Coturnix japonica: one gene and its partners. The protein of the gene in region 3 purifies or fractionates together with the protein of the main gene of each other region. This does not show direct contact. Links are inferred from orthologs where the notes say so. Each region holds a gene or a part of one and is shown on either strand. Other genes may lie near its edges.

Region 1 (5,706 bases), on a different chromosome or scaffold from region 3:
GATCACAGCACACCAACACACACAAGTATTTGCCATTTTGCCTATACAACAGCATGGCACACCAGTCATGTTACCTGTAATTGCACTCCCCTCTTGTCTTCATTTTCTACATGCAGGCGAATTCGTGCAAATTTTTCATCAGAGATGTGCAGCATGATCATGCCATGCAGCTCCATATTCTGTAAGCCTCCATCACGGCCACAAGTCAAGGAAATTTTCTCCTCTATTTTCATATGCACGCTGGATAAGCAAGAGAAGAAACTAATGGTCAACAAGGACAGTCAACGCACAGTGAACACATGCTCCAAAGAGCATGATGGTCCCCAACAAAACGATACATACAGCAGCACACAGATCACAAAGCAGTGAGAAGACAGCTTTCAGAAGAAGCATAACACATAATACCTACCTCTCCATATTAATGGGCGGTGCAAGAACTTTGGCTGCTTCTGTAGAGCGTTTGCCTACAGAAGTCATGATATTTTCTCCCTCCGATTTCAGCTTGTCCACAAAGTTGTCCACCTCCTTCCCTTTGGCGCCCAGTTTCAAAGCTTTACTAGGACCTGATGGTCTAAACAAAACACACAAACACCTCCAAGTCAGTTCAGCACAGCAGTTTCATCCATCCTCAGTCTGATCTTCAAGTGTTGTAACTTCAACAATATTAAGCTCACTTCAGTAGCAGTACACACAGGAGGGGCCTGCCCTTCCCTATCTTCCTGTAGAGACAGAGTCACACACAGAATCCATAATTACAGTACAAAATGCTCCTTGCATGACCAGGGGGAGAGAAAGCTCTTGATTCCCAAAACACAGCACCAGCCTGACAAACACCAACAGACCACACCAGTGCCAGCCATACCTGACCACTCCCTTATGTACCCACACACACACACCAGGTACTTCAGCACCTGTTTATCCATGAAGACTCAGGAGGAAGCCAAACAAAACCCTTCAGACAGCACTAACTGCTGCCAACTGCACACACCTACCTGGACGGTGCTGGTGCCACTTTGGGCTTCTCTGTTTCAATGATGGTCTCTGTGATCATTGCTGCTGTTGTGCCCCCAGACACAGCTGAGCTGCCAAAGCCACCGAAGCCAGGCGCCTTCTTGCCCAGCCTCTCTGCATCCCTCCTGGCCTGCTGCAACTCCTTCGCTTTACGACGCATCTCAGCTTTTGCTTCACGTTCCTGAGTCTGAAATAAAAGATGAAAGCTGCTAAAGCTTTGCAATCTCAGTTTTATTCTGTACAGCTGCTCACGGTGTCTTCTTACAAACACAAAATGCCAAAGAATGGGTATTCAGTGTACAGGAAAGCTAAGTATCTTTAAAAGCCTTGCCAAAGTGGAGTAACACCTTTGCATAAAGAAGCAGTGCTCCCAAAGCACCTTGCACCACAATTAGTTCCACTCACCTCTCGGACAGCTCGGAACACCTTTTCTTCATGCGACTCCATCTCTGTGAAGGTCCGAATTTGTGCCAAGTTTACATTCTCACGGTAGCCCAGGGCAACAATTTCATCAAAGGCAAAAATCAGGTCAAAGCAGTGCTCAGAGATCTCATTCTCCTCTAGAGCTCGGCAATATTCAGGGATCTAGGTAGGGAAAAGCATTGCAAACAGATGTAGATGTGACAATCAGCACCCACTGAGCTGCTGTTTAAGATGAAGTTTTGTGACTATTTTTTTCCTTCAACTAAAACACTTATGGAGTCTTTCAGCACAGTTTTAACTTTGTAATTCACTACAAAACACACCCTGTGATGCTGCTCAGTTTCTTGAAGATCCTTCAGCTGCACAGATATAGATTATGAAGTTAATTAAAAAAACAACTGCAAAAACCCATGACTTAGAAATCCATTTAGAGCACTGCTATGCTTCTCAATCACAATGTGAAGCCAGGACTGAAGGAATGCAGTTGCTACCTAAAGAACATAGAAATATCTGACACTACATTCGCAGCATCTCTTTGGCCTCACCAGTTAAATGGCAAGCATGGATTTCTCACATGTAGTTCAAAATTACCACAGGAGCAGCAAAGGTTACTTCCAGGTCAGGAACAAGCCATAGATAACCAAGTTATGAGGTGGAGGCAGAGTGCTTCAGCACCAGCTTGCCACTGTTTGGGGCTACAGGTGTGAACACAGGACCCGACGTGTAGATCCTTACCACTCTAGAGAAGAGTCGGAGTGTTTCCAGGTCTTCCAGGATGTTGCTGTTTTTCGTGGTGATCAGCACCATGTAGAGCTTCTCCATCGGCTGATACACGTACCTCACGCTCTCTGTTTCCACAAAGGTGTGTTGCTTCCCAGTGTTCATCAGTTTGGGGAAAGCTGCCAGCAGCCCCTCGATGCGGGTTCGGGTCATCTCCACAAACTGCCGGGAGACGATGGCCTTCCCTGCCTTGGTGCAGACAGCTGCCGCCAACAGCACCTATAGGGACACAGACACAGCATTGAAAGCTCTCAGTCCTCCATTCAGGCTAATGCAACACCTTTTCCTATAGGGCTATGACAAAACCCCAGCAATGCTTTAGGCAAAAACTGACTTATCTGTTAGTTCAGCCCCAGCAGAAAAGTCACAATAAAGACCAGAACACTTTGAAATGTGACATCTCTTCCCAGTGCCACACTTAAACTAAGCCGGGTTAATAAAATATTGACCATTATATTAATTACAGCACGTGGATGGTTCTCCTGGGCATTTCACTGATGTTATCACACCAACAATAGAAAGGCATTAAGGTAACTGCCAATTCACCCTTTCTCATTCTCTCCGCCTCGACTTCGTCCTGAAATACTTCTCTCACAGATTAGTTTCTTAATTAACATAGTGAAGATAAAGCAGTTTCTAAAGGTAAGATCCTTTCACTCCCCAGCCAGTTTTAATCACAGTATCCTAACAATGAGAAGCACCAGAAGTTCTTCAGTGTCTGTACATTTCAAGCATGAACCCCAGCACGGCCAGGTGAGCAGCCAGCAACTGCTGTACATTGAGTGGCCATAGGAACCCTGTAGTCAGGGATATCTTGAAGAAAGCAACAGGCATAAGCCTCCATTTCCCAACTGCTCTTTGAAAGGGCTGTGAGTGCAGCACAGCACAGCACAGCACCGAATGGCACAGCTGATCTCAGCAGCACCTCGGCCTCTGTCACCAAGCAGCAGGTCCCGTTCGGGGACGGAAAGCTCACAGCTCCACGTCACCCACAGCCAACGGGACACAAGTGACCTCCACCCGAGCTGGCAGCTGAGGCAGCAAGAGACGAGGCCTGGTTACAGATGTCAGCCTTAACGCTGCAAGCAGCCTCCACGTTACACATCACGCAGCGCACAGCGGGCAGTGCCCCCCAACCGCCCTGCGGCAGCGCCCGGTAAGCGGAGCTGGAGGCTCCCACAGGCCGCGCCACGTCCGGGCCCGGAGCGCAGCGTCACCCGGCGGGGCAGCACGGCCTGGAGCGGCCCGGGTCCATCGCGGAGCTGCGGAGCGATCCGACAGTGCTCGGGGACGAGGCCAGAGAACGGCAGCGGAGCCGCCGAGCGATGAGCGGCCTGGCCAGGCCCCGCGAGCTCTCCGACCCCGGTCCGGCCGGCAGCGGCCCCACGAGCGGCGGCTGAGCTCTGGGCACAGCCTTACCATGGCGGCGGCTCATGGCCGGGCACACCCTTACCATGGCGGCGGCGCTCGGCTCGGCGCTCGCTCCCTCGCGGCTCCGCGTCCCCTCGGGCAGCCCCACAAGATGGCGGCGCCGAGCCACGTCCCCAGCCGGAAGCGGCGCCGCGCACGACGCGAGGGGCGGGGCGGGGCGGGAGGACCCGGAGCGCGGCCCTGGGGGCGGCCCGCGTCAGTACCGGCCCCGGCCGGCAGGGGGCGACACCCACACGCGGCTGCGGGGCCGGGCCGCGGGCGCCGCTCTAGCCGGGAGAGGGAGAGCGAGACGGGGTCGCCATGGCGACGGAAGGCGGCGTCATGGCGGAGCGGCGGCCGGCCGAGGGGAGCGGGGACGGGCCGGGCCGCGCCATCGCCTCCCCGCGACCCTCCGCACAGCCTCGGCCCGTGGAGAACCAGCCGTACGACGAGAGCCTGGAGCTGCCGGACACCGAGGAGGCGGCGGGGAGCGAGAACCGGCCGCAGGGATCCCGCCGGCCGGGGCCGATCTGGTCGGGAGGAGGCGGCACGGGAGCGCGGCCCAGCGGGGCGGGAGAGCGCGGCAACGACCGGGAGGGAGGAGGAGGCAGCAGCAGCAGCAAGGTACGGGGGGAGAGGGGCGGTACGGCACGGGACGGTACGGCATGGTATGGTACGGTATGGTACGGTACGGTACGGTATGGCACGGTATGGTACGGTACGGTACGGTATGGTACGGTATGGTACGGTATGGTGCGGTATGGTACGGTATGGTACGGTATGGTACGGTATGGTGCGGTATGGTACGGTATGGTACGGTATGGCATGGTATGGTACAATACGGTATGATACGGAACGGTACTGCACGGTACGGTACGGTATGGCTCGGTACAGTACGGTACGATACGGTACGGTACGGTACAGTATGGCACGGTACGGTACAGCACGGTATGGTATGATACGGTACGATACAGTACAGTACGGTACGGCACGGCACGGTACGGTACAGTAAGTAAGGCCGCGTCCCTCCTGCCCTGAAGGAAACAGTGGCCAGGCTGGGACCCTCCACCGCCAGCGAGGACGACGATGATGACGATGATGATGATGATGATGACGATGATGAGGATTCCTCCGAGAGCGACTCTGAGGACTCGGAGGAGCGCGGGGCTTCACTGGAGGGGTGAGCAGCGGAGGGAGCCGGGAACCCGTGGCTTAAAAGGGTTGAACAGAGTTGTGCACGGACAGGAAGCCTCTTACAGTGAGAGTGTCCTGCTTCTGCTTTGGGGCACAGCTGGATCCATGTTCGTGCCTTTGTTCTTGTACAAAAACTGATAGGAAGTAATGTCTGCAAGAATTGCTTTTCCTCTCTTCAGTGACTACAACCTCGCAAACTATGACTACCTGCCGGTATCTCCTGAAATTAAAGAACTCTTTGAATACATAAGGAGGTGAGTTGAAGGAGCTTTCGCCTGCCCTGGGTTCTCCTTTGTCTCAAGGTCTTTGTCTCTGGCAGGAAATGTCAATTGCCCACTATGCAATCCTGTTGTTTTTCTCTCTCAAGATACACTCCGAAAACAATACAGATTGAGCACAAACTGCAGCCTTTTATTCCAGACTTCATTCCTGCTGTTGGAGACATTGATGCCTTCCTAAAGGTACAGTGTTTTCAGATATCCCCATACCTGCTGACACACAGGGTGAAACAGAAGGTGGTTTAGATATGAGCCTGGCAGACTGCAGCCACACTGACCTGGTGGTAGCGAGGTGCCCTTGCCCTGTGCTGCAGATACTGCTGTAGACACCTAGGAGATCACAAATAGCAACACTATGACCTGGCTGGTCACTTTGGTAACATCCCACATAGCACATATGTAATTTGGTGCAAGGGCTGCCTGTTTCTTTGTCCAACACCTTATGCATTTCAGGTACCGCTGTGTTAACAACTCGTATTTTCTGCTCTTTCAAAGCATCACGCTTACAAATTTCTTCTGAATTGAGTCTGAATTTCTAACAACAGGGAGAAGCTGTACAGAATAGTTCCAGCATCCCCTGCTACTCCCATAGAGGATTCCTTCTGTGTTT
Region 2 (5,558 bases), on a different chromosome or scaffold from region 3:
AACTCCAAATCTATTTTATTTTCTTAACACCAATCCCAGTGAGAACACAAGACTGCAAAACCCAAACGTTATCAGGCACAGTAGGAACACACAACCTGCCCCCAGGCAGAGCAGCCTGATCTGCTTCTTGAGTACCATAAAATAAGCCTCACCTCTGGTGGTTTGCCCAGGTGTTGTGACAGGACAACAAAGTTGATCAAGGTCTCAGGATGGCCACTATCCTGGAAAGAAAAACAATCACCTGTCTTTGTGACTTATCCCTAACACAATAAGTGTAACACCTGGCACTGCTGTGCAAGAACAACTGACGAGCCCGTAGCTCACTTTAATAGAACAGGTAGAGTAGAAGGCAGATGTTAATAGCAACCACTCTTAGGGACATTTTCATAAAGCATAATGAAATTCCTTGCTGTTATAGCCTCTATGCGTAAGAGATAGTTAGATTCAAGCCAATTTGCCAGGCAAAACCATTAAGTACCTTGTCCAGTGCCTCTTGAAGTACCCCCTCTGCATCATCCCACTTGCCCTGAGCCATATAGCAGGCTGCCTGCCCATTAAGCAGGAGGAGGGTGGAGGAGCATTTGTCTGCCATCTCTTGGAAGATGTAATAGGCGTCCTGTAACTTCTCACCACCCTGCAAAAGGACACAAGCATGCAGTTTCACTGTGTATTGCTAAGAAGGCTGTATTCTGTTTTTGTGGCTAAAGAAAGGGGCCAAGAAGTTAATTTGAAGGGTTATAAAATGAGCTATTGTCATTCACAGAGTCTCCTCTGAGAGATCACTGTAAGACTACAGATGAAAGGAATGCAAAAATATTAAATATTAAGAAGCACTTAAATGATCAAAAGATCAAGAAACATTTCAAAAGAACCACTTCAGAACACCGACTTAATGTTTGGAAGAACATTACAACGTAATAAAAGACTATGAAATGAGATCTTACAATTAAACCCAGGTACAGACACCTGGCTTTTCAAAACATTCCTGCTTTAGAAAGGTTTCAGATGCAGCAGCTTGCACTGATTAGAGGATGAATGTTTCCCTAGAGGAAAATAAGATCTTAAGGAAAACTCAGCCCCAGGTTACTGTTACTGTTGTAACAGGTTACTGCACGCATACCTTGGAGTTTACTGAATCTTAGGAGACTGGTTTCAAACACCTGACATCTGGACTTAACAGACAACACGTGTTTTTGGCTGATCTGAAACTCTTCATTACAATACAATTTCTTGCCAACCAGTTGCAGGCACCAAAAGAACAAGTTTAATGAGATGGTGGTAACTTGGTAAAAGGCCATCACAAACTAAGCACAGAGTCTTGTCTGAATGCTGTTTCTCAGATATCGTAGGCCAGGGATACTCACTACAGCCAGGTTCACCCAGGCAGTAGCCAGCTGAGTGAGGGTCGCATCTTCATCTTGCTCCTGCATCTTCTTCAGTTCCTTGCTGTGGATGCAAAAGTGGGAGTTGTGTAAAAGGAAAACAAGGCCTGTCTTAGTCCTCTAAGATGCAGACAGAAGGTTGAAGTTTCCTTTCTCAAGCTCTTTCACCTCAACAGAAAAACAACCATAGCAAACTAGTAAGGAGGCATAATTACCTCCTAATGTTTCACTGAGACAAGCTGTGGAAGAGCTCCTTGTTTTACTTCTGTAAGGAAAGGAAGAAATCCAGGCCTAGAGATTCAAACCCCTTTATGCTCACTATTCAGAAATAAAGTGACACAGACAAGCTTACTCACCGAGCCAGATCAAGCCTGTCAAGCTTCAGAAGAATCTGGATCATCATCGCCGTGCTGCAATGAATAAAAGCAAATCAATTGTAATAATGACGAGTTTTATCACTCCTTGTGCTTAGCACAGATACACTACTCATGCCAGGGCTATCTATACAGGCAGCCAACAAAGCCAGCAGAGCTCACAGCAGGACTCAAAGCAGGGAAGCTCCCAGCTGCCCTCCTGGTGTACAGCCATAGTACTCACTTCAGCAATTCTGAATCCACACAGATCAATAAATCAGATTCTTAAGTTTCACAAGGGAGCAATAGATTTTATACTGCAGACTGAGCACCACATCCATCACTACTTGAAAGGGAAACCTCTCAAGAGTTTCTCAATGGTTTCAAGGCTTTTCAGAGACAAGCCAGATCCTGGGCATTTCTATTACACCTCTCCCTACATGAGCGAGACTTTGCTAACACACACCGCAGAGAGGCCAGATCGAGTTATACTTACCATTCCAAACTTTCCCCTTGATGTAGAGTACGTAGAGCTGCATCAGGATTTTTGTCATGGAAATAGATTGAAGCAGCCATCAGCAAGAAAGTGGTATTGGTCACATCGACACTTTTTGCCATTTTTTTGTCCAAATCAGCAACAATTGCATCCCTGCAACAGTGTGGGTGAGGGAATAGAAGTGTTTAAAATGCCTCGCTATCAGAAAACCTACTTTTTTGTGGCAAAACCAAAGCCAGACATTATAAAAACCATATTTCTATGAACTCTTCACTTAGAAACTCGTTCTTTGTGAAACAAACTCATTTTCAGACTTACCTTTGACTCTCATTTGAAAGATATTCTGCAAACATCCGCACAGCCTGGAGCTCAGGACTGGCATTGGCTTTAATTTCATCCAGCACAACCCCATACTTTCTCTGTTAAAGGTAAAGCAGAAAACCTAGTGACTTGCAGAATCAAACTCTATAATCCAGAGATGGGTTATAAAGCAGGGACGTTTATTCCAGCACTGGGTGCAAGGGGGATAGCTCCACCAAACTTGCACCCCGACTTGTAAAATCATGACACAGATATAGGTACATCTAATACATAGTCAATGATTTCTCAGAATTCTAATACATAGTCAATAGTTCAGAATTCTGATCTATATTCAATAGTTCTTTAGCACACAGACTCCCTCTTGTTCTTATCAGGGGGATGCAACTCCTCTTCTGGTATTTACATTACCTGTTCTCCTCCTTGCCTGATGTCGTCCATGAGGTCTCACTCCTTACCTGCATCCTCCCTGCTCTCCCAGGCCCCTTGTTTCCTTTACTTGTTACCTTTAAGTTTCCTTTATTTCTATAAACTACCTTTAAGTTTCCTTTACTTCTTTCTATAAGCCACCTTTAAGTTTCCTTTTCTTACTTCTACAAACCACCTTTAAGTCCCCTTTATTCATTTCTACAAACCACCTTTAAGTTTCCTTTCCTTGTTTCTATAAACCACCTTTAAGTTTCCTTTCCTTGTTTCCATAAACTCTTTAAGTTTCCTTTGCTTCTTTCTACAAACTACCTTTAACTACCACCTTTTAACCTCCCTTTATTCTTAATTCCAGCACCTGTTTCCTGCTTCTCTAGTATTTATTACTCAGTTGTGTTTATTACTCGGTTGTGTCGCATTGAGCTCAGGTTCATACCCTGCCCTACCTGAGCCCTACAGTCACATCGTGCTGCTGTAAATCCGACCCACCTGTGCAATGTAGGACCTGAACAAGAACACATCCCTCTCTGTTTCCTTCTCGGGGTTCGATGGCTGGAAGGAGAAGAAGAAACAACAGCTCCATTAAGGAACCTGGGCACTAAACCCAGGAACCTCCTAAACCCAACATGGGTTTAACCCCGTTCGATACCCCCACCTTGATCCGCTGTGCCTCGTTGATGGCGGCCTGGTAGGCCCCGATGTAGAAGCTGTTCTTCACGTCGAACAGCTCGTCCCCCTCCCCGCTCTGACCAGCTGGACCCGACCCCGGCCCGGCCGCCATTTTGCCGCTCCGGACACGTCTCTCCGGAAGTAGCTGAACCCCGAGGGCTGCCGGGAGCCGCCATGTCCATGAAGATGTCAGCTCCAGCCAATAGCCACGCGAGAAACATGTTACGTCACTACGGCGACGGAAGCGGGAGGCAGCCAATGAGAACGCGAAGGAGGCCGGAAGTCAGTGGTGTTAAGGAAGGAGCAAGATGGCGGCGTTCCGGGAGCTGGGTTTGGCCCCGTGGCTGGTGGAGCAGGCGCGGCAGATGGGGCTGAGCCGCCCGACGGCCGTGCAGGCCGCCTGTATCCCGCCCATACTGCAGGGTGAGCCTGGTCTCTTGTTCTCCCTTCCTTGCAGTTCTCTATTATCCGCCATCGCTCACGTTCTTTACTTTGGGGGGGGTCTCCCGTGTAGGCCGCGACTGCCTCGGCTGCGCTAAGACGGGTAGCGGGAAGACAGCGGCCTTCGTGCTGCCGGTGCTGCAGGTGTTGTCCGAGGATCCCTACGGCATCTTCTGCCTCGTTCTGACGCCCACCAGGTACGGAGGAACCCATAGGGGGGGTCCCCTGATGGTGTATCCCCGCTTAGCGCTGCCCTACCCCGCAGGGAGCTGGCCTACCAGATCGCTGAGCAGTTCCGTGTGCTGGGGAAACCGCTGGGATTGAAGGATTGCGTGGTGGTGGGCGGCCTGGGTGAGTGAGACAACACAGAGTGGGATGTGTCCGGTTCTGGGCTCCTCAGTACAACAAAAGAAAGGGATCTCTGGGAAAGAGTCCAGCAGAGGGATACAAAGATGGTGAAGGAGCATCTCCCCTGTGAGGAGAGACTTAGGGAACTGGGTCTGTTTAGCCTTGAGAAAAGAAGGCTGAGAGGGGACTTGATCCAGGTTTATAAATACCTGAGGTGTGGGAGCCATAGTGGTGAGGCTGGTCTCTTTTCAGTAGTGTGTGGGGACAGGACTAGGGTTAATGGGATGAAAGTACAGCATAGGAAGTTGTGCATGAATGTGCGGAAGAACTTCTTTACAGTGAGGGTGACGGAGCACTGGAACAGGCTGCACGGGGAGGTGGTGGAGTCTCCTTCTCTGGAGATAGACCTGCCTGGATGCCTTCCTGTGTGATATGGTGTAGGGAACCTGCTTTGGCAGGGGGGTTGGACTCGATGATCTCTAGAGGTCCCTTCCAACCCCTACAATTCTGTGATTCTGTGGCTGGGGGGGGAGCAGAATGACTCTTCATGTCTCCATGACCTTCCTCTGTAAGGCTGGTGTTTTCCAGCCACGCACATTCCATGTTTACGAGGTTCAATCTGTAACACAGCAGCGTGTTTCTCGCTGCAGACATGGTGGTTCAAGCCCTGGAGCTCTCCCGCAAACCCCACGTTGTCATTGCGACGCCTGGCAGGTTGGCGGATCATCTTCGCAGTTCCAACACTTTCAGCCTTAAAAAGCTCAAATTCTTGGTAGGTTTTCCGCTCTTTTCAAATACTTTTCCCTCTGCTTTTTAAGGCTTTTGGTTTTGTAAGGACACTTGCAGATCTCATTTATTTGTGGCTAGATATTGGATGAAGCTGACCGGCTGTTGGAGCAGGGCTGTGCTGACTTCACTGCAGACCTGGAGGTGATTCTGGAGGCTGTTCCCGCACGCAGGCAGACGCTGTTGTTCAGTGCCACGCTGACAGATACACTGAATGAGCTGAAGAGCCTGGCCATGAACAAACCTTTCTTCTGGGAGGCTGCATCTGAGTATGTATCTCTGCTCTGCCACACGCAGCATCCTGCTTTTTCTCTATTATCTCATCTCCTTACTGTCTCT
Region 3 (5,104 bases):
CTTGCACAACTTGGAACTCCCACTTCCTACTCACAGTGACAAGGGGGTATTCCCTGGCTGCCCGCAGGTCAGCAAGACTTTGTTTAACGTATTCTTCAGCAACAAAAGCTTCCTTTAACCCAGGGAAAAGATTCTCATATTCTGTAGGATCAGCGAGGGATTCAGCAGCTTTCTGGTTCACTTTAGAGAGACTCTCCCGCCACAGTTTAACAACCCTGGAGATAAAAATCAGATTCATTGTATGCAGGTAGTTTTGACAATACTACTAGGATCTGCATATACATTGATGTTACCTTGAAACTTGGCTTGGCAAATAGGTCCGTGCAAGAAATGCAGCTTCTGGGAGACGTCCAGTTTTAATCAGGAGTTCCAAACATGAGTCAAGCCTGACAGATTTTAAAATAGAATTTTTATCAGTAATTTTTCAAGCCAGACTTTAGCATTATAGCTGTTTAGTCTATGATGTCAGTAAATTAAAAGTGCCCGTTTTAAAGAGTAGGCATCATAAAGCAGTTTTTTCTGAAAGGGTACATGCTACTACTGTCTTTCTTCTTGAAATTAAGTTACCTGCAGTTCACTGTTTGGAAATGTGACATTCTTTGTGTTTAGAAAGCCCAATGAGAACCATCTGAATTTCTCACTACTTACTTTCCCTGCAGGAAGTAACTCATAAATGCGACGTTGTTCTTGCCATCTTTCTCTGCTCCTTCAGCTAATTTATTCACCATGTTGGCGTTTCCTGAGGCTGTAGCCAGTAGCAGCAGCCCTCCATAGTCTTGTGCATGGTGCAGGCATTCCTGGGCTAGGCCAAACTGGCATTTACTAATGGCAAGTTCAGCAAGTTGCTTCCATTTCTGTTCTGACTAAAAGCACAAGGAGAGGGAGGAAAAAGAAAAAAAACCAAAGCTATATTTTTGAATACCATTAAAGATTTTTAAAGCATTCAATATGAATTCTAAGTTCACCTGCTAAGTTACCGTATCCCATCAGCATGCTTGTCTTCCCATTAAGATACGATAACGATTGCAGTTTGTTCTGTGCATACCACTGTCACACTGTCATTACCCAGCAACACCTGCCTACTTTCCCCTCTCCCTGTTTAATGACAACACATTAACTTACTCCCTACTGCTCCATTATTTTGCAAAATGAACAGTGAGACCAATTCTCTGAATAATAGCTATGGGCCAAATCACTGCCTGCCAGTCTTCCTAGAACATCAGAAATGATGCAAGTTTTTCAAGGCTGGAATAAAGGCCCAGAGGCTTCAGTTCTGCCAGTTCTCCTCTCTGTTCAACACTGAAGATTAAGGCTTTGTTCCTGGTTGGAATGTATTACTCTCCAGGAGGAGTTCCTATATCTTTCTGAGCAGACAACATGCTTCTGTTCTCATCCCACAGCAAAGATTCCTTTGAACGACAGGCAGAGAAACTTCAGTAAGGAAGTTGGAGGCATATTTACAGTGTTCACAGAGCTGTGCTGCACTGTCACACTGCCTCGTCTTATGAGGCCTCTACGATTTATACTCAGAATTATCATGAATCACCAGAAGTTGTATGTTTACCTCTGCTTCTACTGCAAGCTGATAAGCAATTTTTAGTTCTCCCAGCTGAAGAGCAAGTTCAAAACGATGCTCTGGATCTGTCGATACTGCAAGAGCTTGCTGTTTGAAGCCCTGAAATAAATGAATAATCAAAAGTAAAGCTCTGATCGGTCACACCAAACAGCATCCCAGATGTTTTAACAAAACCCTCTAAAGAAAAGATTACAGCATTCCAAATAAATACAGATGATTAACATGAATCTATATATACATTAAGTTAGTGGCTTTTTTAGTTGCTTAGTTTTTTTGTTTTTTTTTTTTTACTTAGCAAATTCAATTAGAAATAATCAGCTGGTGACTTTTTGGATGTTTAAGAAAGGTTTCTCTTGCCTGTTTTTCAAGAAAATGCGCAACTCTGGTTCTCTGTTCTTTTGGAATCGTGGGGAGAACTTTGTCAGCCATACCGAAGTCTCTTCTCATCACAGCAGTTTGATATTCAAGCACTGAGACCAGCAAAGAGTAGCTAACAATGTTTAGCTCTTTATCACCCAAATAAAGTCGGTTGTCCTTAGGAATATACCCCAAAAGATACATCGTCCTAAAACAAGACAAAGACTATTCAGCTTGGATATGTCGACTGTGAGGTGCTACATAAAAAAATCCAATGATAGCAGGAATATTTGCATCAACTTTTACTCTGTACCCATGTAACGTTATTTATTCTATGCAAGATTACATTAATTGCCTCAGAACATGAGCATTATAATCCAAAAGTAATTCATCAGGGCAAGCGGGAGATTTACTTTGTCCTAACTGAAAAAACAGTCAAGACTTCCTTACAATCTAATGCAGCAACGTACCTGTCTAAATGGGCAATCGTGACAATTTCTCCTCCAACGTAGTAGTTGAGTCTGTTCACAGAGCTTGTGTAAATAAAGCAGTCGCCAACCCACAAACCTGTTTTCACAATCTCCTGAATCTCACCAAGAACCTGCAAATTAAATTTAACCAAAAAGCTACTTTTAGATAGCAGTGAGACTACTGTGTTTTCAAATTAAATGCAACAGGCACAAGGGTGAGTTGCAAAAGAAGTTCCAGGTACAAACCAGAAGTTGTGCAAACTATGCCTCCAGTTCTACAAAAAGATGTTACAAATCTCTCTCAATAATTAACTAAGTTACAAATCCAGGAAGGAAGTACCAAATGTGTTAAATAAGATAATTAGAAGTTTCCTCATGAGATTTCTGCTGTTTTTCACGTGGTCTCAAACTTCTGTCAGATTTCAACATACAAAAAGTGCAGAAAGCATCCAGTTTCTGTGAACATGCTACCCAAATGCAAGATGGCTGGAAAATACAATTTAGTTGTGTTATGTTAAGGACTAATTTTGCTATTCTCTGGCAAGACTCGCTTCAGTGACCTCTGATCCTTGTCACATCCGTTTTTAAATACAGGTACCTCAAATGCATCTTCAATTCCATCTTCAGTGACTCCTTCATGCGTTTCCTGGGCAGATGCAACTTTTTCTGATAGATATTTCAGGATGAAGAATGACTCTTCTGTAGCAATGCAGACAAGCTCACCCGAGTCAGACCAGAAAATCTGTGTCATCAGAATCAATAATGGCAGTGGTTTAGAGAGCTCAGGTTAAGAGAGAAAGTATGTTTTAGTTTAATTTGTACAAACTCTCATAGCAGCCTTAGGAGCCAAGAAGCCAATGCATGCATAAGATTTTCTTCCTTTTCACTACCAGGCAGAAGTAAACTTAAGATATTGTTATTTTATGATTGGCAGCTTGGTTTCGTTATAGAAAAAATATTCAACAGTCTAGCATCTACAGTCTAGAGTAAACGCAGATGCACATAGATTCATATCTTCAGATTCCTTTCAAAACTTACATGTTTGGGCTGAATTTCAATTCTGCGGATCAGTTCCGTGTTTTCCCAATCATAGAATGCCAAACCATTTACAGATCTCACTCCCAACAGGAAGCCACCGTAGATGCCTGTAAGAAAATGAAAGTTGAAGAATTCTGCATCGTGCAGACTGTGCACATGCATCAATATGTGTATGCTAAAAGTAAATACTCACCTTCCGCTCCAAAATCAGGTTTGAACGATTTCTTCTCCTTGAAGTTTTTAAATATCTTCACAACGCTGTTGCTCTCTCTGATTGCGTACCTGGAGATTGCATTATAGAAATATTACTTGCCTGTTAAAGTAGCAAACTACTAAAATAACAAACTGCTACAAGAAAATCCTTGCATTTGTCTTCAAAAATCAGCAGAGCACAGCAAATAGAAAACCTTAAAACATCACCTTCTCTAAGTTCATTATTCAAACCTTTTTTCTTGTTTTTTGTCTTCAGCCCAACTCCATGTTTGTACAGACTGAAATGTAGCAGCAAAGTTAGTTAATACAAAGGAAAATCTGCAACACTTACTCTGACGAATCATGTGCCCACACGAACTCCTGTGCAGAACCAAAACTCTTGTTCCTCAAAGCCATAGCTGTGTAAATGATATATTCGCCATCACCACACACTACAACAAACCTAGAGCAAGAGAAAGATGCAGTCTGTCAGACATCCACGTTCAGTGCACTAGAACAAACACACAAATCATATGAAGATCATCACAAGCCTGTGTCATGGTATAATTACCACAAACATAAACAGAATTAAATAGAACAACTTTGTGTATTCCAGAACCCATCACATAATGGATTGTTTCTGCTTCGCTTTCCTAGCTACTTGCTATCCCTTCTTGCTTCTGCTCTCCGCTCTGCTTCATTTCTACTGTGTATCCCTTTACCTTTTCTTCCAAATTAGCTCATCTAATTAAAAAAAAACCAAACACCTGAGATGTAATAGAAGAACTTGGTTTGCTACTACTACATTTTACATTTTGTTTGCATGATTCTTTCCCTGTTTACAATGTGCAACTTGTCAGTTTAAAATGTGAGCTATTATGCAGATGGCTGAAGCCCTTCTACTATGATTTTCCCCTGCTTAGCTGTGAGACACCTGTTAGCCACAGGCTCTCACTACCAGGACACATGCAATACATTCTCCAGTATAAAGAAAACCAACCAAACAAAACGAAACTGATTTTTTTTCTACAATCAATTACCGTCCATTAGGGTTGTGCTGAATTGTTTGAGGATATATTTCACAGCTCCCCATATCCTTCACAGCCAGTGGCAATCTTTCTCCATCTTTAATTTCAGCATCTCCCATAGCTTTCAAGTTGGCCTGCTGGACTTCTGAATGTTTGGCCCAGATAATTTTTCCATTTGCATCCATGGACATGGCTGGTTCTTCACGGCCAAGCTAGGAAGCATAGCATAAGAACTTAGCAGACAGAGAAAACACAGTTTTGATTTTCTTTTCAGCTCCACGCATCCAGTGAAATATCCCGGCTTTGTCTAAAAATGACAATTCAAATTCTAAATGATCAGTATTTTATATATTACTATCAGATAATTAGTTGCTCTTTACACAGGACAGCAATGAATCACCTTCTCTCATTTCAAATAACTATACCTTAACAATGATGCTGCC
Region 4 (5,655 bases), on a different chromosome or scaffold from region 3:
AAGGGTTTCACCCAGGAGGTGGGATGCGGGATGAGGATGCTGGCTGCATTCCACTGCTTCCCTCTGGCTTTTTGCAGCCAGTCCAAGAGCAGCGCAGGGTCCCGCAGAGGAGGATGCTGAAGATGCCGTGCACGTGGCTGCATCATGCTCTTGTCACCCCTCTGCTTATTTTAGGTGAACTGTCCCATCCGAGAGGGCAGCTTTTGCCCCACAGAACTGATGGGGGGCAGCTTGGAAGCAGGCAGTGGTGGCACGAGTCCCAGTCCCACGTCACACACTCCTGACCAAAGGGCAGCTGTGGGGCTGGGAGCGGCTGCGGGAGGAGACGCTGTGTTGTCCCCATGCTGCCATCACCCCATCACCACCCCATCCCTGCGCTGCCACCACCCCGTCCCCTTGTTGTGAATGGGACAGGGGGCACCAGGTGGGGGGGTGATGCTGAGTGCTGTGCTCTTTTCTTGCAGGCTGTGCTGCTGCCCTTCCTGCTGCTGCCATGGAGCATGGTGCAGGGGCTGAACCTCCAGCACGGCCCTGCTCTACCCGGTGCCCCCTGGCATGAAGGTGGCTGGGACAATGAGGGCAGTAGCGGGGTCATGCTGGGGCTCCCTGGGGCAAGACGTGGACACGGCTCTAGGGATGGCTCTCAGTTGGATGGAACCACGCAGCTGCTGCTGGAGGACTCAGTGAGAGAAGCATGGCCCTGGCTGCCAAACCCTGACACCAACAGAGCTGCTGCGGTAAAGAGCAGCAAGGCAAGAAAGGTGTCCCTGTCCCTTGATGTCCCCACACACATCCTGAGGATCCTGCTGGACTTGGCCCGGGAGAAGGAGCTGCAAGCCAGGGCAGCTGCCAACGCTGAGCTGATGGCACGAATTGGGTGAAGGAAGTGACCACAACACAGCCATGGCCAAAGGACTCTGTGGGGCCAAGGGGGGATACGTAGGGCTGCTGGCAGCTGCTCCCTGCACCCAGCTGTGCAGGATTTAGCCCCGGACAAACTGATGCTTGGGGTGTGCTGTATAAACGGTGCACACACAGCAGCTGCTGTTCTAACAACCCAATTTGCACTGTGGGAGCAAAGCACCGGGCCGAGACAGCCCCGCTGACACCGTGCCTGGCACAGCGGGGTCAGTGTGTGCACGTCCTTGTCCTCAGTGCACCTCTGCTGATGTACCCCCATCCACTCCTTCCGACCCCCGTTTTTCCATGTACCCTCTGTCCAGATGCTCTGTACACCATAAAGCCCACCCAGACCTATGGGCATTGTACCTGTGCAGTGTGCTCTGCCACTCAGCGCCGCCCCGGGGTTGCCACGCACCCCAAGATAAGCACCGAGCGGGCAGCGTGCGGCCGCCCCGTGCAAAGGGCAGGGCCGGGGCTGGGGCTGCTGCTGGGGCTGCCGGAGCCGGGCTGGATGCAGCCATGCTCTTCGAGGAGCTGCTGGTGCAGGGTGAGCATGCACAGCGTTGGAGGGGGGAGGTGTGGGGGTGCCCCTCTTTGGGGGTGGTATTTCGGGGTGGGGGATGGAGCAGGGGTTGGGGGATGGAGCAGGGGGTGCAGAGCAGCTGCTGCCGTTCTGGGGTGAGTGTGGGGTGAAGGTGCCAGCCCCGCCATGGTGATGCTGGGGGACAGCAGGGTGACAACCAGATATCGATGGGGGTTTGGTCCCATTCCCATCACTGTTCAGTCCCTGTCGCTGCCGGCTGCCACGTTGTCCCCTGCTGATCCCGGCTGTGACCCCCGCAGCCCCTCTCAGCACTCCCAGGTGCCACCAGCCCCTCCGCACCCCCCGGTCCCGCTGTCTCCCCCCGGTCCTTCAGTCCCGTGGTCCCGGTGTCTCCATCCCGGTGACCCCAGCCCGCTGACACCCCCATCCCCACGCTGCCCCCTCAGACCCCGCTGTACCCCCATCCCGCTGTACCCCCATCCCGCTGTACCCCCATCCCGCTGTACCCCCATCCCTCTGCCCACACCCCTCACTCTTCACCCATCGCCCACCCCGGAGCCCCCCGAGCCCCGCCCCCTTCCTTCCCTCCACCAATCAGACCTCGCCCTTCTCCCCCCCACCTGTCAATCACACCCATATCCATGGACACCGCTCATCGCCCCGCCCCCCTTCCCGGAGCTCCGCCCCCTCCCGCTACCGGCAGTGACGTCACGGAGCGTCAACCCGCGCCTGCGCAGTGCGGCGGCGGCAGTGACAGGCTGGCAGGAAGGGGCGGGGGTCGGCAGCGGGACGGGTTCGGTTCGGCTCAGTTCGGTTCGGCTCAGTTCGGCTCGGTTCGGCTCGGTTCGGCTCGGCTTAACTCACCGAGGGGCCTCTCGCAGCCGCCATGCTGAAGAAATTCGACAAGAAGGACGAGGAGTCGGGTGAGGGGCAGCGGGAGGCCGGGGGTGGGCCTGTGTGAGGTGTGAGGTGCAGACATGGTGCTGTCGTTGATGGGCAGCTGAGGGCTCGTAGGATGCTGCTGGGAAGGCTTTGTGTCAACCATTTGGCTTAAAAGCATTAGTAACTACAACTAAAGTAACAGAGGGGAGGTTTAGAGCAGGTATCGGGGATTGCTTTCAATGAGACACATTGACACAGCTGCCTGGAGAGCTCAGGGTCAGGCTGGATGGGACCCTGGGCAGCCTCAGCTGGTGCCTCACTCAGTAGTTGCCAACCCAACCTGGGTCATGGGGTTGGAACTAAATGATCTCTGATGTCCCTTCCAACCCAAGCCATACCGTGATGTTGGGGCTGTAGATGTGCTGTGCTTCTTTAACCACTTTCTGCGAGCATTTTTCAGATGTTTAGACTGGAAACACTTTGATTTTTTTTTTTTCCCCGTGTTTTCTTCTCTTCCCAGTGTCACCAAAGCATCCGCGCTTTGCTCAGCCCCCTGCTGGATTTGCAAACAGCCTGTGTAAGAGGAGGGCAATGAACCTGAAATGAGTTAGGATGCACATGGCTTTGCCTTGTATTGCAGAGGCTCTGGGCAGCAGCATGCAGTGCTTCTGGGGCAGGGCAGGTTGTGCTGAACCAATCCTAGATCTCAGGCTTGTTAAGTGTTGGAGAAGCACTGGAAAAGGCTGTTTGTCCCAGAGCCAAGGCTGAACGTCGGTACTAATTACAGCCTGCTTATCAATAACCGACAGCTTTTGAGATGCTGTGGCTCAGAGATGCTTAAAAGAAGGCAAGCTAATAGAGAGAATGCAGAATAATGATGCTTTTCTCTCAGATTATTTCATCCTTAATTAGTGAGTTGTTCATTGTTTAATATAATTTATTCTATTAAGAGGAACAATGAATGTTATTCTGTGTCCAGACTCTCTCATTTGCTGTCTTGTTCTCTTAATTAGTGATAGAGCCAAAGAATATTTACTGCTGGATTCCTGATTGGTTTATAATGAAGGGATAAAGCACTCCTGACTCTCCAGCCTGGCAAACACTCTCTTTGTGTCTATGACTCTAAGCTTTTGTTCCTCGAACTGTCTTATGATGCTCTAACTGTCAGCAACATCTCAGCCCTGGGGCTGGAAGCGTTACCTCGGGGCTCCCCACTTTGCAATTGATCAGACTCATGGCAAGTTACTTCTTGGTGGGTGATAAATCAAAGGACGTCCTGCCTGCTCTGTCTTCCCTCACTGCTGGGGAATACTGCTTCAAAAGAGGAGCACTGATTGTGTGGTGTTCACGAAAAAGCTACGCAATAAATGCTGGGCTTACCTTTAAACTGTAGGTGTGTTTTGATAGTTGCTTTCCCATAGCAGAATCCCTGGACTTTCTTTGTCTTTATTTTGCAGGTGGGGGTTCCAACCCATTCCAGCACCTGGAGAAGAGCGCAGTCTTGCAAGAGGTATATCCTTAGAAGCTGTCCTTTGTGCTGCCCCTTCTGCTTGGAGTGTCCCAAACTCCTGAGTAGATCAATGGGGAATTTTAGTGGGGAAGCAGGGCTTTGTTGTGGTCCTACTAGCAACTAAAGTATGGGACAATACTCCCACTAGTTCTTGTTTTATTGCTGGAATGAAGAAGGGAGAGGGCTGAAATGATCTCTGTAACAAAGTAGACTCTAAATGGTAAGCAGTAATATAGAATGTGACTGTCTGGGAAAGCTCACCCTAAAACAGGAAAGTTGGGAAATCAGCTTTGAACACCATAAACTTGTAGATTTCAAAGCCAGAGAGCAGGCTGCGTGTGGTTATTGAGTGGTCTCTGATTTTACTCTGAAATAAAAACCTTTTTGTTTGACATCAGACAAACTTCTCAGTCCCCAGCCCCTGTTATTTTGGTGTTATCTGTTTGTTTGCCATATGGTGGATGGTGTTGGTCCCTGTTAGCCCTGCAGAGCTGGCTGACAACTGTCAGAAGGGTTGTGTTTTAGCTAGCACACGATCCAAACTTGTGTGGGTGAAAGTGTGAGGTGGATTTAACCCTTCAACTTTCGTTGTGCTTGCATTTGCAATCTCAGGATGAGACTATAGAACTGTCTGTTTAAAATGTGGCCTTGTTTAGCTGGAACTGGGGGAAATCTGATCCAAAGTCGTTATGTGGATTTTGCTATACCTCACTGACAATTTGTTGTTTATAATATCAGGCCAGACAGGACAATGTTTATGGGGGGTGTTGATGTCAACATCTTTGTCTGTGATTTGTTTCCAGGCACGTGTGTTTAATGAGACTCCCATAAACCCACGAAAATGTGCTCACATCCTCACCAAGATTCTGTACCTCATAAACCAGGTAAGGGAGAAAAAGTAAGCTGATACGTTCTTTTGATTGTTAGTCTTCTCTAACTAAACTTTATCTTCTGAATAGCTTTGTTGGCTATATCCAATAAAAACATTTTAATTAGAACAGTTTCTGTGCTACTAAGCTTCTACTTGCCTTTTTAGCGTCTAAAAACATTCTGTGGGGTAGAGAGGGTAGGAGCAGCAAATATGGAGAGGTTGGTGTCTGTGATTTCTTATGACTTGGAAGTTGTAACCCTACAGCTCTTTGATGCCAGGAATGGTTGTCAGTCCAGGCCCTTGGGTCTCTGAAGCTGTGCGCAATAAGGACCAGCTTTGTAAAGTTATTTACCTGTCTCGTGGGGTTTCCCTGCTTTGGGATCTCCCTGCATCATTATATGCAACAGCTGTAGCTGGCTCTGACTAGCTGTGGTGCTTTTAGGGAGTATGGCATAAGTTTTTCTTACACAAGCCATGGAGACCCAACCTGCTCTGCACCCATAAAGAAGCTGTCTTGTCACAAGTCATTTATTTGTAAACCTGATAAATCATGCTGTCACCTACACTGACAAGTAAGCAACATTCAGCCATGGCTGGGGGCTTTGTCAGGCAGGATTTTACTCTGAGTATGCTGAAGAAGATCTGCTTCCAACCACGCTATGCCTGTTCTCCTTATGTGTGAGACTGAGCCTTGCACCTGCTGCAGGACCAGATCTGCTTGTAGTAACTGGGGTTTCCTTCCTTCTTTCCAAACTTCTTCTAGGGGGAGCACCTTGGTGTCATGGAAGCTACCGAATCCTTCTTTGCCATGACAAAGCTGTTTCAGTCCAATGATGTAAGTCTGTTAATTGTTTTTTGCTGTATTTATCTAGTGAGACAAGTTGTTAGCAGTGTCTTTTTTAGCCTCAGATGTCATTTTGTGCCTGGAGTTACCGATCTAAGTGG

Evidence for each region.
Region 1: the proteins of COPB2 (region 3) and ARCN1 fractionate together in Homo sapiens (co-fractionation; 5 studies listed by BioGRID and IntAct, with this or other methods). This does not show direct contact. The link is inferred for Coturnix japonica from reciprocal best matches to the Homo sapiens genes COPB2 and ARCN1.
Region 2: the proteins of COPB2 (region 3) and COPE purify together in Homo sapiens (affinity purification with mass spectrometry; 4 studies listed by BioGRID and IntAct, with this or other methods). This does not show direct contact. The link is inferred for Coturnix japonica from reciprocal best matches to the Homo sapiens genes COPB2 and COPE.
Region 4: the proteins of COPB2 (region 3) and COPG1 purify together in Homo sapiens (co-immunoprecipitation; 8 studies listed by BioGRID and IntAct, counting the BioPlex papers as one, with this or other methods). This does not show direct contact. The link is inferred for Coturnix japonica from reciprocal best matches to the Homo sapiens genes COPB2 and COPG1.

The regions. Positions count from the first base shown.
Region 1 is NC_029539.1:4,766,810-4,772,515, forward strand, and holds the start of ARCN1 (coatomer subunit delta), read right to left. Parts: upstream 3,839-5,706; 5' UTR 3,671-3,838; coding exon 3,668-3,670; intron 3,652-3,667; exon of another isoform or gene 3,637-3,651; coding exon of another isoform or gene 3,634-3,636; intron 2,434-3,633; coding exon 2,170-2,433; intron 1,597-2,169; coding exon 1,417-1,596; intron 1,199-1,416; coding exon 993-1,198; intron 572-992; coding exon 410-571; intron 241-409; coding exon 75-240; intron 1-74. Other genes in the region: IFT46 (intraflagellar transport protein 46 homolog), read left to right, coding at 3,946-4,248, 4,665-4,804, 4,998-5,072, 5,186-5,279. UniProt on the Homo sapiens protein: Component of the coatomer, a cytosolic protein complex that binds to dilysine motifs and reversibly associates with Golgi non-clathrin-coated vesicles, which further mediate biosynthetic protein transport from the ER, via the Golgi up to the trans Golgi network.
Region 2 is NC_029543.1:2,773,828-2,779,385, reverse strand, and holds the start of COPE (coatomer subunit epsilon), read right to left. Parts: upstream 3,797-5,558; 5' UTR 3,757-3,796; coding exon 3,631-3,756; intron 3,528-3,630; coding exon 3,465-3,527; intron 2,651-3,464; coding exon 2,550-2,650; intron 2,385-2,549; coding exon 2,232-2,384; intron 1,793-2,231; coding exon 1,739-1,792; intron 1,447-1,738; coding exon 1,365-1,446; intron 635-1,364; coding exon 479-634; intron 222-478; coding exon 153-221; intron 1-152. Other genes in the region: probable ATP-dependent RNA helicase DDX49, read left to right, coding at 3,953-4,067, 4,159-4,282, 4,351-4,436, 5,084-5,205, 5,301-5,488. UniProt on the Homo sapiens protein: The coatomer is a cytosolic protein complex that binds to dilysine motifs and reversibly associates with Golgi non-clathrin-coated vesicles, which further mediate biosynthetic protein transport from the ER, via the Golgi up to the trans Golgi network.
Region 3 is NC_029524.1:4,611,464-4,616,567, forward strand, and holds part of COPB2 (coatomer subunit beta'), read right to left. Parts: coding exon 5,087-5,104; intron 4,874-5,086; coding exon 4,674-4,873; intron 4,097-4,673; coding exon 3,986-4,096; intron 3,724-3,985; coding exon 3,635-3,723; intron 3,549-3,634; coding exon 3,442-3,548; intron 3,146-3,441; coding exon 3,002-3,145; intron 2,535-3,001; coding exon 2,404-2,534; intron 2,142-2,403; coding exon 1,934-2,141; intron 1,676-1,933; coding exon 1,565-1,675; intron 864-1,564; coding exon 649-863; intron 387-648; coding exon 294-386; intron 216-293; coding exon 35-215; intron 1-34. UniProt on the Homo sapiens protein: The coatomer is a cytosolic protein complex that binds to dilysine motifs and reversibly associates with Golgi non-clathrin-coated vesicles, which further mediate biosynthetic protein transport from the ER, via the Golgi up to the trans Golgi network.
Region 4 is NC_029527.1:6,762,977-6,768,631, forward strand, and holds the start of COPG1 (coatomer subunit gamma-1), read left to right. Parts: upstream 1-2,223; 5' UTR 2,224-2,333; coding exon 2,334-2,370; intron 2,371-3,786; coding exon 3,787-3,839; intron 3,840-4,642; coding exon 4,643-4,723; intron 4,724-5,473; coding exon 5,474-5,545; intron 5,546-5,655. UniProt on the Homo sapiens protein: The coatomer is a cytosolic protein complex that binds to dilysine motifs and reversibly associates with Golgi non-clathrin-coated vesicles, which further mediate biosynthetic protein transport from the ER, via the Golgi up to the trans Golgi network.